Yarrowia lipolytica: one gene and its partner. The protein of the gene in region 2 interacts with the protein of the main gene of each other region in a biochemical or structural test. Links are inferred from orthologs where the notes say so. Each region holds a gene or a part of one and is shown on either strand. Other genes may lie near its edges.

Region 1 (6,233 bases), on a different chromosome or scaffold from region 2:
ATCGCTCACGGCTCCCGTCCCAGTCGCCACTCGATTGGGTCGCCCACTGAACTCCACCAGAGGTTTCTGCCATCCAGTGGTTATCAGCCTACCGCTGGATCTTCTCAGAAGTCGTCCCCCCTACAGACTGGCTACATTGACGGTCTATATTCGACCAAGGCCTCATCCCGGCCTTCTGAATCCCATTACCCTTTCAGCCCAGACCACTATCAGGGAATCCAGCTGGACGAGAATGGCCGAGTTGTGGGAACAAGCCTGTCATTAACAACTCCTCCAACTCCCTCTGGCCCAAGCTACCAGGGCGATTTCCAAAAATACTCACATCAGGAGACTCCTGCGCATCTCCCCTTTGAGCCACAGTCGTCTTCGCTGACCCGGCCCTATCAGTCCCGACACTCGAGTCTGGGCCTTGGACAGCCTGTCAGCTATCTACAGAGTCTTTCCTCGGCTCAATCTCAGAGTCGCAAACGTCACTCTCTACCCGCTCCCTCTGTCGCCCCCCTGCCTGAGGATGGAGGCCCCATTCCGGACGGAAAAGTAATGGACGACCCACACGCCATTGACGCTCACGATCTTTTCTGGGCCAAGACAATCACACCCGAGTTCCACAGTGTCGTCGAGCGGAAACGAAAGGAGAACAAGATCGACAGCTACAATCCCTTTGCAACATTCAACCAGTGGAACGCTTGTGCTGTTTACGAGCGCAAAAACAAGCACACTCTGCCACAGTACAAGGTGCGCAAGCTGGCGGACGGCACTCGCGGCATTTTGAAGTACGCCGTTGAGAGCAAGGTCCCTGAGCACCTGCGGTGTCTTCCCTCTTCGGAGTTGCTGAACTCGTGCTATGATTGTGGACAGAGAGGGGAACATGCTGCGACCTGCGAGTTCCATCGCGAGGTTGGCGATGAGAGTTATGTTCCCGTCAGTGGCGATCCTGAGAATCGGAAGCGGAGGTGCGTGGGAGGTGGGGGCAGCAACACTTTTGCTGCAGATTACAACTACAAAGACCCATCTGAGAACAAGGAGGACCACTTTGTGACCAAAGCCTGGGACACAGTCAAGTGGAATGTGGTGAAGCGGCCGATTATGGCGATGCGGGCGAGAAGAAGGCGATAGAACTAGGAGGGTGGGGGGAAGACCGAACTATGATCGAGAGAGCGATCAATTTCAGCCCATAGAACTATCCGTAGCGACTGCGGCAACTACGCGTCATGATGAGTGATACGGGGTGGGGTCGTTAATGTTTTGCTGCAGTTGAGCTCTGTGCTGAATGTGATGGTATTCAGTGAAGTATCTTCATAATTAATGGGGTATATATAAAGTGTGTGTTTTAGGGGCGGTTTCAGTGGTATATACCTGTTTCTATCAGAAGCAGTCTTTGCTTGTTGATGGTAAATATGGATAGTTAAAATAAAAAATAAAAAAACAATAGAGACTTGTTGGTTGTGTCTACCTTATGTTTTTTTTCGCCGTAGTCTCAGAACTGTCTCAGAACTGAGTCTGTACAACAGTTGGATCAGGTGGGTGAAAAGATGGTCGATTGACTGGATGTTGGTGATTGGTGATGATCACGTCTTTGAGACTCTACTGTGAAATTTACAGCTCATTTTGATCAAAACTGGTTGGTTTTGCATCACATGAGTGCGCAGGAGTTTTGATAGTTGCAGGAGAGGAGGTGAATGGGGAGAGGTTGGAGAATGTGGTTGATTTTTCCGAGAGTCTCAGAAATTTGGCGGCATGTTTAGATCGTTGAGATTTTTGTGATTTTTCCAATTTTTTCCCTTTTTTTTTTCTGATTTTTCCTCATTTTCTCCATTTTTCCCCATTTTTTCCGATTATACACCCATGAACGTCCTGTTCCACATCTCCAATATTTCACCACCGGGTCTCGAAACTTTATTTACGCCGTACAATAAATTAGGGTGTTTTGGCGCGATGGAGGATCGGTTTAAATGGTAATTCTGGGGAGATAGAAATCCGCAAAATTATTACTTTCAAAGACAATGTTGTGTTATATTTAATGTAATTTTTCCCACATTTTTCCCCATTTTTTTCACTTTTTCAGGGTCTATTTCAACTTCTACCTGTATAACCGTATAACCGCACGTCGGATGTACTGTACTTGTACATAGAGCCAGATCAGAGGGCTCAGAAAAGGCGCTCGCTGGGTGTAAAAAGCAGAAAAAAATGGGTTAAACACATATTATAGCGATTTCATATTTCTTTTCCTTGCCCAATTTATTTTGCCGTCCAAAAAAGTGCCCTTTTTCGACCCACAGCTCCGGCACCACTCCTCCCATCCATTCCACCTATCCTACCCTAACCCTAACGAAAGAAACACGTCAGATACAGTTGTTACACCGACACACAGCACACATACATTGTCATCCTACACCACTCCCCACAATGTCAGCGCTCAGCTACAAGAAAAACGACGACATTGAGTCGGGCGCGCTGGACAAGATGACCGTGTACCAGGAGTGTCAGCGGGCGTTTGCCGAGTCGCCCATCAACGCGCGAAAGTGCCGAAAGCTGCTGGCCAAGCTGATCCACCTGCTCACCATCGGCGAGACCTTCAGTGAGTTTGAGGCCACGGGTCTGTTCATCGCCGTGTCCAAGCTGTTCCCCCATAAGGACCCGTCGCTGCGGCAGATTGTGTATCTGGCCATCAAGGAGCTGGTGCCTCTGTCCAACAACGACGTGATTATGGTCACCTCGTCCATCACCCGAGACGTGCAGGGCTCGTCGGACCTGATCTACAAACCCAATGCCATCCGAGCACTGGCGCGGGTCATTGACGGCTCGTTTGTGCAGGGCATTGAGCGGCTGATGAAAACGGCCATTGTCGACCGTCACACCTCCGTGTCGTCGGCCGCCCTCGTGTCGGCCTACCACCTGCTCCCCATCGCCAAGGACACCATTCGCCGATGGGCCGCCGAGGTCCAGGAGGCGGTCACGTCGCAGAAGAACTTCCCGGCGGGTGACCCCTGCCCAACTACGCCCCGGCCCCGCCGTGCTGGCCCCCTACCACGCCCTGTCGCTGCTGTACGAGCTGCGAGCACACGACCGAATGGCCCTCATCAAGCTCATCCAGCAGTTCTCCGGCGCCTCGGCCCACCTGCAGTCGCCCAACGCCAATGTCATGCTCATCCGATTCATCGCCAAGGCTGCCAACGACGGTGCCCACCGGCAACAGCTCGTGGCCCTCCTGGAACGATATCTCGGCCACAAATCCGACATGGTCGCCCTCGAGGCCGCCAAGGCCGTGCTCACCCTCCGAGACGTGAGCCCTAAGGAGGCCGCCTCCGCCATTGAGTCGCTGCGGGCCTTCCTGGCGTCTCCTCGAACCATTGCCCGGTTTGCAGCCATCCGAATCCTCAACCGGTTCGCGATGACCAACCCCGGCGCCGTGGCCGTGTGCAACGCGGAGATCCAGCCCTTGATCACCGACTCTAACCGGTCCATCGCCACCTACGCCATCACGGCGCTGCTCAAGACCGGCAATGAGGCCTCCGTCGACAAGCTGGTCACCCAGATCAGCGGGTTCATGTCCGACATCACCGACGAATTCCGAATTGTGGTCATCGATGCTGTCCGGTCGCTAGCGCTTAAGTTCCACGCTAAAAAGTCTACCATGCTGCAGTTCTTTGGCAACACCCTTCGGAACGATGGTGGCAGTGCCCAATACAAGGCTGCCGTGGTTGCCGCGCTGTTTGACATGATCCGGTACGTGCCCGACTGCAGAGACACCGCCCTCGGCATTCTGTGCGAGTTCATCGAGGACTGCGAGTACACCGAGATTGTTGTTTCCGTCTTGCATACTCTCGGACAGGAGGGCCCTGCCGCCGCCAACCCCACAGTGTACATTCGGTACATCTACAACCGAATCGTGCTTGAAAACGCTTTCATTCGAGCAGCTGCTGTCTCTGCACTGGCCAAGTTCGCGCTGGTGGATGACACCTCTGTCAAGAAGTCCGTCAAGGTGCTGCTGGAGCGATCTCTGGAGGATGAGACCGACGAGGTGCGAGACCGAGCTGTCATTGCGCTCAAGCTGCTCGAGTCTGGTGACCAGGCCCAGGCCAAGGCATACATTTCGCCCGAGTCGCGATTCTCTCTCCCCATTCTGGAGCACAAGCTGGCTCTGTATGTGACTGGGTCCGGTGCCGACTTTGACACGCCCTTTGACATGTCCTCTGTGCCTCTCATCACCGACCAGGAGGCCCGAGAGGCTGCTCTCAAGGCACACAGAGAGACCACCGAGGCCACCCCTGTGGTCAACGGCGGAGCTGGAGGACCCACCCCTGCTTCTGCGGCTGCTGCCACCACCGCCAACCTGGCGTCCAAGAGCAATTCTCACGAGGCCGCTATCCAGCGTGCCGAGAAGTACGCTGCCGAGCTGGCCGCTATTCCCGATCTGGCAGCCTTTGGCACTCCTCTCAAGTCTTCTCTTGCGGTGGCTCTCACCGAGTCCGAGACTGAGTTTGTCGTGACTGCCATCAAACACATTTTCCCCAGCCACGTGGTGCTGCAGTACGACGTGCACAACACGCTTCCCGACGCACAGCTCAGCAACGTGTCAGTGGTGGCGTCTATTGAGGACGACAGCGAGGAGCTGGTGGAGGAGTTCATTCTTCCTGTGGACGAGCTTGGTCCCGATTCTCACGGCACCGTCTACGTGGCCCTCGAGAAGACCGAGGACCATCTTGCTGTTGCATCGTTTGAGAACATTCTCAAGTTCACTCTCCATGACATCAACAAGACCACCGGCGAGGTGTCTGAGGACGGCGACGAGGACGAGTACCAGATTGAGAACCTGGTGCTGGGTGCTGGCGACTACCTCGAGGGTGGCTTCATCGGCTCGTTTGACCACCTGTGGGACGAGCTGGCCAACACCGAGGCGGTTGACACTGCCACTCTGTCCGAATACAAGGGTCTGGAGGAAGCTGTCCAGTTTCTCATTTCACAGCTGTCTCTCACTCCTCTGGAGTCGTCTGATGAGGTCACCTCGGCTTCCACACATACTCTGAAGCTGTTTGGAAAGACTCTGACTGGCGAGAAGGTGATTGTGCAGATCAAGATGGCCGCCTCGCAGCGAACAGGAGTTGTGGTGCAGTGCAAGGCTAGATCGGGTGATGAGGAAGTGGCCGAGTTGGTTGCTGGATTTGTGGGCTCGTTGTAAGTGCGTCTTTGTTAATGAGCGAACAGGCCAGATAAGTGGCCTTTGGTTAGTAAGATATATAGTGAAGGATTATTGCAAGTTTGGTGTAGTAGGTGTGATTGGGCTCTGTGGATGATGATGGCTAGAACGTCCACGTGAAGGGCTGAGGAGCATGCTTTAGGAGGATGATTCAGCTAGGGAACCTGCTCAAAAGGATGATTCATTGTTTCTATCCAATTCAAGTCCATTTCAACTGATTCTATCACGATTCAAGTTGTTTTTATCACGATTTAATGTGATTCTGTAATGTCACTCTGATAAGACCAATATTCCGCGAATTGGAGTTGTCCGAGTGAGATGCAGTTGAAAACTATTAGAGGCTTCTGGGCATGACTAGAATCCGATACCACCTTAGTAAAGTGTATTCGACATACTCTTAATCTGTAGTCTCAGGAAGCGAGAACAGTTCAAACTGACTTCAGCTTGTGACACCAATTAACCACATCCACACACAAACACCACGCCGAATTGGAGACAGAACATGATTGCGTCCGCCGCTTTGTTGTGTTTGTGTTGTTGGATTTGGGGCGAGTGATGTGAAGGAAGAAGAGTCGAAAAGCGCGAGGTGGGTGTTAAAGTAGAGTCGCCATAGTGTGGTAATGATGACTGGTCATATATGCATGTTTCCAAGTAAAGTTAAGTAAAAAGGGAGGACATTTTTTTTGCTATTATGGCTACGGAATGGAATTTTTGTATGACAAGAATGATAATTTATTACATGTTTTCATAGTCCTCGTTTCCAGCTACATTTCTATACAACTTTTACTTCTTCACCACCTCTGCAACATTGGATTTGAACCCCCAGTAACTTTTTCCTTTAACAAATTCCCAACTATAACTAATCCAACTAGCCTCGTTAATTGTATGCTTCCATCTCGCTCAATAATACTCGGATTGCCACCACGAGAGTTGCTTTCGCTTCGGAATCGTCCGCTCTCTAAAATGGGCCCTTCTCCGATGTCTGCACATTTTCCCGGGACTATGTGCGCCGTATCGTTTGCTCTCGCGCTCGCAT
Region 2 (4,585 bases):
TCTGCTGACATCCGTCTCACTCTGTTTCATTGCCCAGCGGTCTCTCCATCTCCAGGACCCCACTGGCTTTGGCATTTTCCAACACCTTCGACACATACATTTTGACCAAATAATGGGACCGTTCTGTCGATAATTCCGGCTGGCATTGTTCTGGCTGATGACGTGACCGCTTGTGAATCGACACTCAAGAGCTGGAGTCGCCGGACAATACTCGAGAATCAGATCCACTTTGACGAGCTGGGGTACAGTACACTAAAAAGTACAGTGCAGTACCAGCAGGCGCTCGACTTGTGTGCCAAAGGTGGGAAGGAGAGATGCTTGATTCTGGAGGACGACATAGTGTTCACCAACAGCGGATCGAACCTCCTCCAGCGAATCAGGGTTCCACATGATGTTTTTCAATGGCCCAAAATGGGCGTATGACTGTTCGTCTGTGGGTCTGGGGTGGCTAAAGACGGGCCAGACAAGTAACAAATCGCTGTGTCGAATCGTGGAAAACCAAGCAGCTCCGTTCCTGACGGAAGAGATTACCAAAAAAAAAGAGCTTGCCGCTGATCTCACCTTGGGAAGGGCCCAGGAGGTGTGTGGAGTGATCCAACAGACAACAACTGATTGAAACAGCCACTCGGAAACAATATATTTGTCTAACATTGCAGTAGCATTGGACTACAGCCACTGGTGTTCTTTATGGAGGCATTAATCAAACCGTAGAGCACTTACACACTTGTAAAAAGATGTCCTTCCACTATTACCGACGTTTCAGCATCTGTACAAGGAACCAGATGCAGTCAATACCAATAAAGATCTACATCTCAATCGTGAAAAGCACTCGTTTGTTCACCTTTTCAATAAAGTCGAATTGCGTCGCAACGGTTACCAGTCAATCACCAGTCTACGACTGTCTCCCATAGATGTCAAGAGCTCATTAATCCCCCATGTACTTGCTCCACTCGTACACTCGTTGACCATTCGTTCATATTTACTTTATAACGTGCCTAGTATCATTACAGGCGACAATCCTTCGCATCTTCTGACATTGTCGCTGCGATCGTACATCACAAAATGCTGTCCAAGTTTGCAAAAATGTCAAACACTCCAGCCACCACCTCCAGCTGCAGCTCTTTATTCGGGTTGGCTGCAATCTCGTCGTTGATTTCCTGGAACAAGTTCACGCCCACGTTCTGGGTCTGACCAGGCTTCTCCACAAAGGGCCACTCGGAAAAGTCGTTCAACAAATCGTCAGCTCGTGCAAATGCCTGGTCACGCATCTCGTAGCTCAGATCTGCGAGCACGTTTTCAAGCACGTTGGCAGCATAGGCGCCACATACTGCTCCGACAGATCGGAGGTATCGGAAGGGCACGCCCTCGGGCAAATAAGGAGATGGGTTGATGACAACGGTACGTGCGGTGAGAAGCGACAGCACGCGTTTTTTGATGTCCTCCTTGGCGCCCGTGTCTGCGACGGGGTGGGTGGGCATATCAAAAAGGAAAAAGTTGCGTTTCTCGGTTCTCAGAATGCCCTTGTCGACCAGGCCCTTGGAAAGCCGTTCTCTCACTTGCTTGAGCTGGTAGCTGATCTTGGACAGGTTCCAGGTCTCGCCTGACAGATAATTGATCCAGGTGCCGACGGTGAGCTTTTCAGAGGCCTTCATGATTTTGATGGTTTCGTCCAGCAGCGCCTCGCCTGTCAGCTTGTCGTTGATGACCTCAATGTACCGGTCCGAAATGGGGAAGCGTCGGCGGTTTGTGTCGTTCACCATCTGGACCTTGCCACGTAGAGCCAGCTCCATGATGATGCAGCCCCGCAGCGCGTACGAGATGTTGTCGTTCCAGAAAGACAGATACCCTTGCTGGTCCTTGAGCCCCATCAGCAGCACCTCCTCCATGAGCGTCAGGCGCGGCTGCTTCTCCTCCTCCTCCGCCGTGCGTATGTCTTTGGGGTCGTATCCGATTTTGGGACCGTCTTCGTCCGTCTTTGGCACGGTCGACGTCTGTCGTTCAGAGCTGCCCCAGGTCTCGTCGGCCGAAGCCGTGTTGTTGACACGTCGTCGTTGCAGGCCTGACATGGATGTAATTGTGTGTGCAGTGCCTACTCCTCGTAGTTGTGTTGGTACTACAAGTAAGTCTGTGGTTGTGCTGGACGTGCTGCTGCTAAGCTCAAAGGCTGCGTATACCTTACGTGTGAATAATGCTGATGACAGGTGTTGGGAGAAGACGCCCCTTGGTAATGGATGAGTAAGCAATACGGAGAATGGAGGATGGTCTAATGTACGAGAAATGTAATTGCTGATGGAAAGAGCAATCACCCGGGGGCATATATTTTCTGTCATTTGGCCTGTCGTGGATGGCCAAACATGCACTTCGTTGCACAGTCACGTGTTTCTACTGATTGACTGATTTGTGCGTGAACTGGATATTTCTGTGTACAAATTGTGTCACGACGAACTACAGTACTGGCTGTCGATGGAGGTTGTTGAGTCTTTCTTGACGAGAATACTTAAAGACCCGCATTTCCATGTTTTTCCCGTTTTTTCCAATTGTTCCAATTTTTTAATATATATAGTTTTGCCTGGTTTCGCTGCCACCTGACTTGTTGAGAATTGTGTGCAACAACTCAGGTCTGCTGCAATCCTAAGCACTCGCGCCTACTCAAGGCCCGATAACCCCCATCCAGAGTTTGTAACATTGATGTTTGGGCACGACGACGACATGAAGGATCAGCTGTAACCTAATCGCGGCAGTTGGACGACGACAACATGGGAATGTAGGTCCACCAAGCACGCAGAAATTGTATGAAAAGAGGTGGATATTTTGGTCTTAATCGAATCAGCCGGAAGATCTGAGCTGATTGGTACCTTTTTCTGCCACCATATGTCATTCAAATGCTGCTAACGAGGGACCCAAGCAACCAGTGACTTCGTCAATAAAGATTATAGAGAGAACGACGAAACCAGACAATGATCCCTGCAAAAAACGCTTTTTTCTCGACATTAGCGTGCGTCTACGGGTTAGACAAGCGTCTAATTCACAGAACAATGAGATTCTAGACTGGTCTGTCGTTAGCTCGTTTGATCTGGGCTTGGGTTAGCTCTGCTTCTCTTGGGTCTGGAGAAAGACGGGGTAGAAAAAAACACACAATTCTGAAAACCTTTGTATGTCAAGTGTTGATAAGAGGTACATCATTGGACTTGGAATTTCAAGCTGATTCGAATGATACAAAAAAAACCTATGCTCTATACAAAAGTGTCGGTTGAGAGTATTCGCCTAATCTACAGGTTCTGGTGAACATGGCAAACAAAAACGCACACAAAAAGACATTTTTGTCACTCATAGGGTAGGTTGAATTATACCATTAGAATTAGCAGCGGATTCTTAATCAGGATATGTACTTTTCAGTACACATGTCGTATTAAACTGCTACGTGAAGGGACATGAACTTGTGCAAAACTGTTATGGTCTCCACATTAGATGAAGTGTCAGTTGATACCAGAAGAATAATAAAAAAAAAAAGAAGGCAGTGGTACACTTTCGGTCTTGTATTGTACTGCAATAGAGTGTATCATTAACCCATTTTCTAGAAAATTTCAGTGATGGCACCGTCACCAAGTACAGATATATATGCTTACTGGACATACTGTTCTCGTACTTGCATAGTCTTCAAATCACTAAGGAGACTGTGACTATAAGAACACTTCTCTGAGCGATCCGATTCAACTTACTTGTACAATTTCTCAAATATTCCAAAACAATCTATTCTATAATGACTCGAGAAAGGTGCCATCTATGAAGCCTGTCTCAGAGACTCAAGTTCCCTGCTTCGATAGCACTTGTCAGCATCTGTCAGCTAGCTATTGTGCAAAAGGAAGCACCCCAGAGTCATGTACTGACACAGCACCCATCTAACAATTGTCCATTCATCGTCGGCTTCTGCCATTTCTCGTCGGCTTCGGCTGCTCCGAATGGGTTACGCTAAATCTGCGCATCATACTCCCCCGCGCCTTGCTCTCTCTTTTTCTGCTCCAGAAACTCTCTCATATCGTCCGGAATAGAACACTTGGTGGCACCCTTAGTGTAATCGACAGCGACAATCACCTCTTCAATTCGTGCACACACCTTCTTGGACTTGTGGCCTATCACGACGCCCTTGAGAATGAACCGGTCATCGAGAATCTGGTCAATTTTGTGGACGACCGTCACCTGGTCGGGGAATTTGATGGGGTATCGCCAAGCTAGATTGACCGACCGCATGACCGGTGCCACCGACTGGCCACTCATGAACCGCTGAAAGTCCGTGCCCCACTTGAGAAACATGTTAACACGGGCGGTCTCGAACCAAGCCAGATACACCTTGTTGTTAACATGCTGGAAGGAGTCAATTTCTCCCCAAGAGACGCCCTGAGACGGCAGCCCAGCGTCGGCAAGCAAGTATCCTTTGCCCTCGTGCTCATCGAGCAGATTCTGGATCCAATCGGGTGCTTGGGGTTTGGCGTGCGAACTCTGAGAACGAACTGCCCCGAGAACCAGAGAAGCACGTAGAGTGGGGGTAATGACTCTGACAGGAGTCACGAGGCCAATTGATCTGATC

The links.
Region 1: the proteins of YALI1_D04533g (region 2) and YALI1_F04895g form a complex in vitro, tested with the Saccharomyces cerevisiae proteins (2 studies listed by BioGRID). The link is inferred for Yarrowia lipolytica from reciprocal best matches to the Saccharomyces cerevisiae genes VPS74 and SEC21.

What each region holds. Positions count from the first base shown.
Region 1 is NC_090775.1:486,403-492,635, reverse strand, and holds YALI1_F04895g (uncharacterized protein), read left to right. Parts: upstream 1-2,406; coding exon 2,407-3,013; intron 3,014-3,059; coding exon 3,060-5,179; downstream 5,180-6,233. Other genes in the region: YALI1_F04920g (uncharacterized protein), read left to right, coding at 541-1,116. UniProt on the Saccharomyces cerevisiae protein: The coatomer is a cytosolic protein complex that binds to dilysine motifs and reversibly associates with Golgi non-clathrin-coated vesicles, which further mediate biosynthetic protein transport from the ER, via the Golgi up to the trans Golgi network.
Region 2 is NC_090773.1:451,035-455,619, forward strand, and holds YALI1_D04533g (uncharacterized protein), read right to left. Parts: upstream 2,331-4,585; coding exon 1,056-2,330; downstream 1-1,055. Other genes in the region: YALI1_D04512g (uncharacterized protein), read right to left, coding at 1-237, 289-651; YALI1_D04556g (uncharacterized protein), read right to left, coding at 3,970-4,585.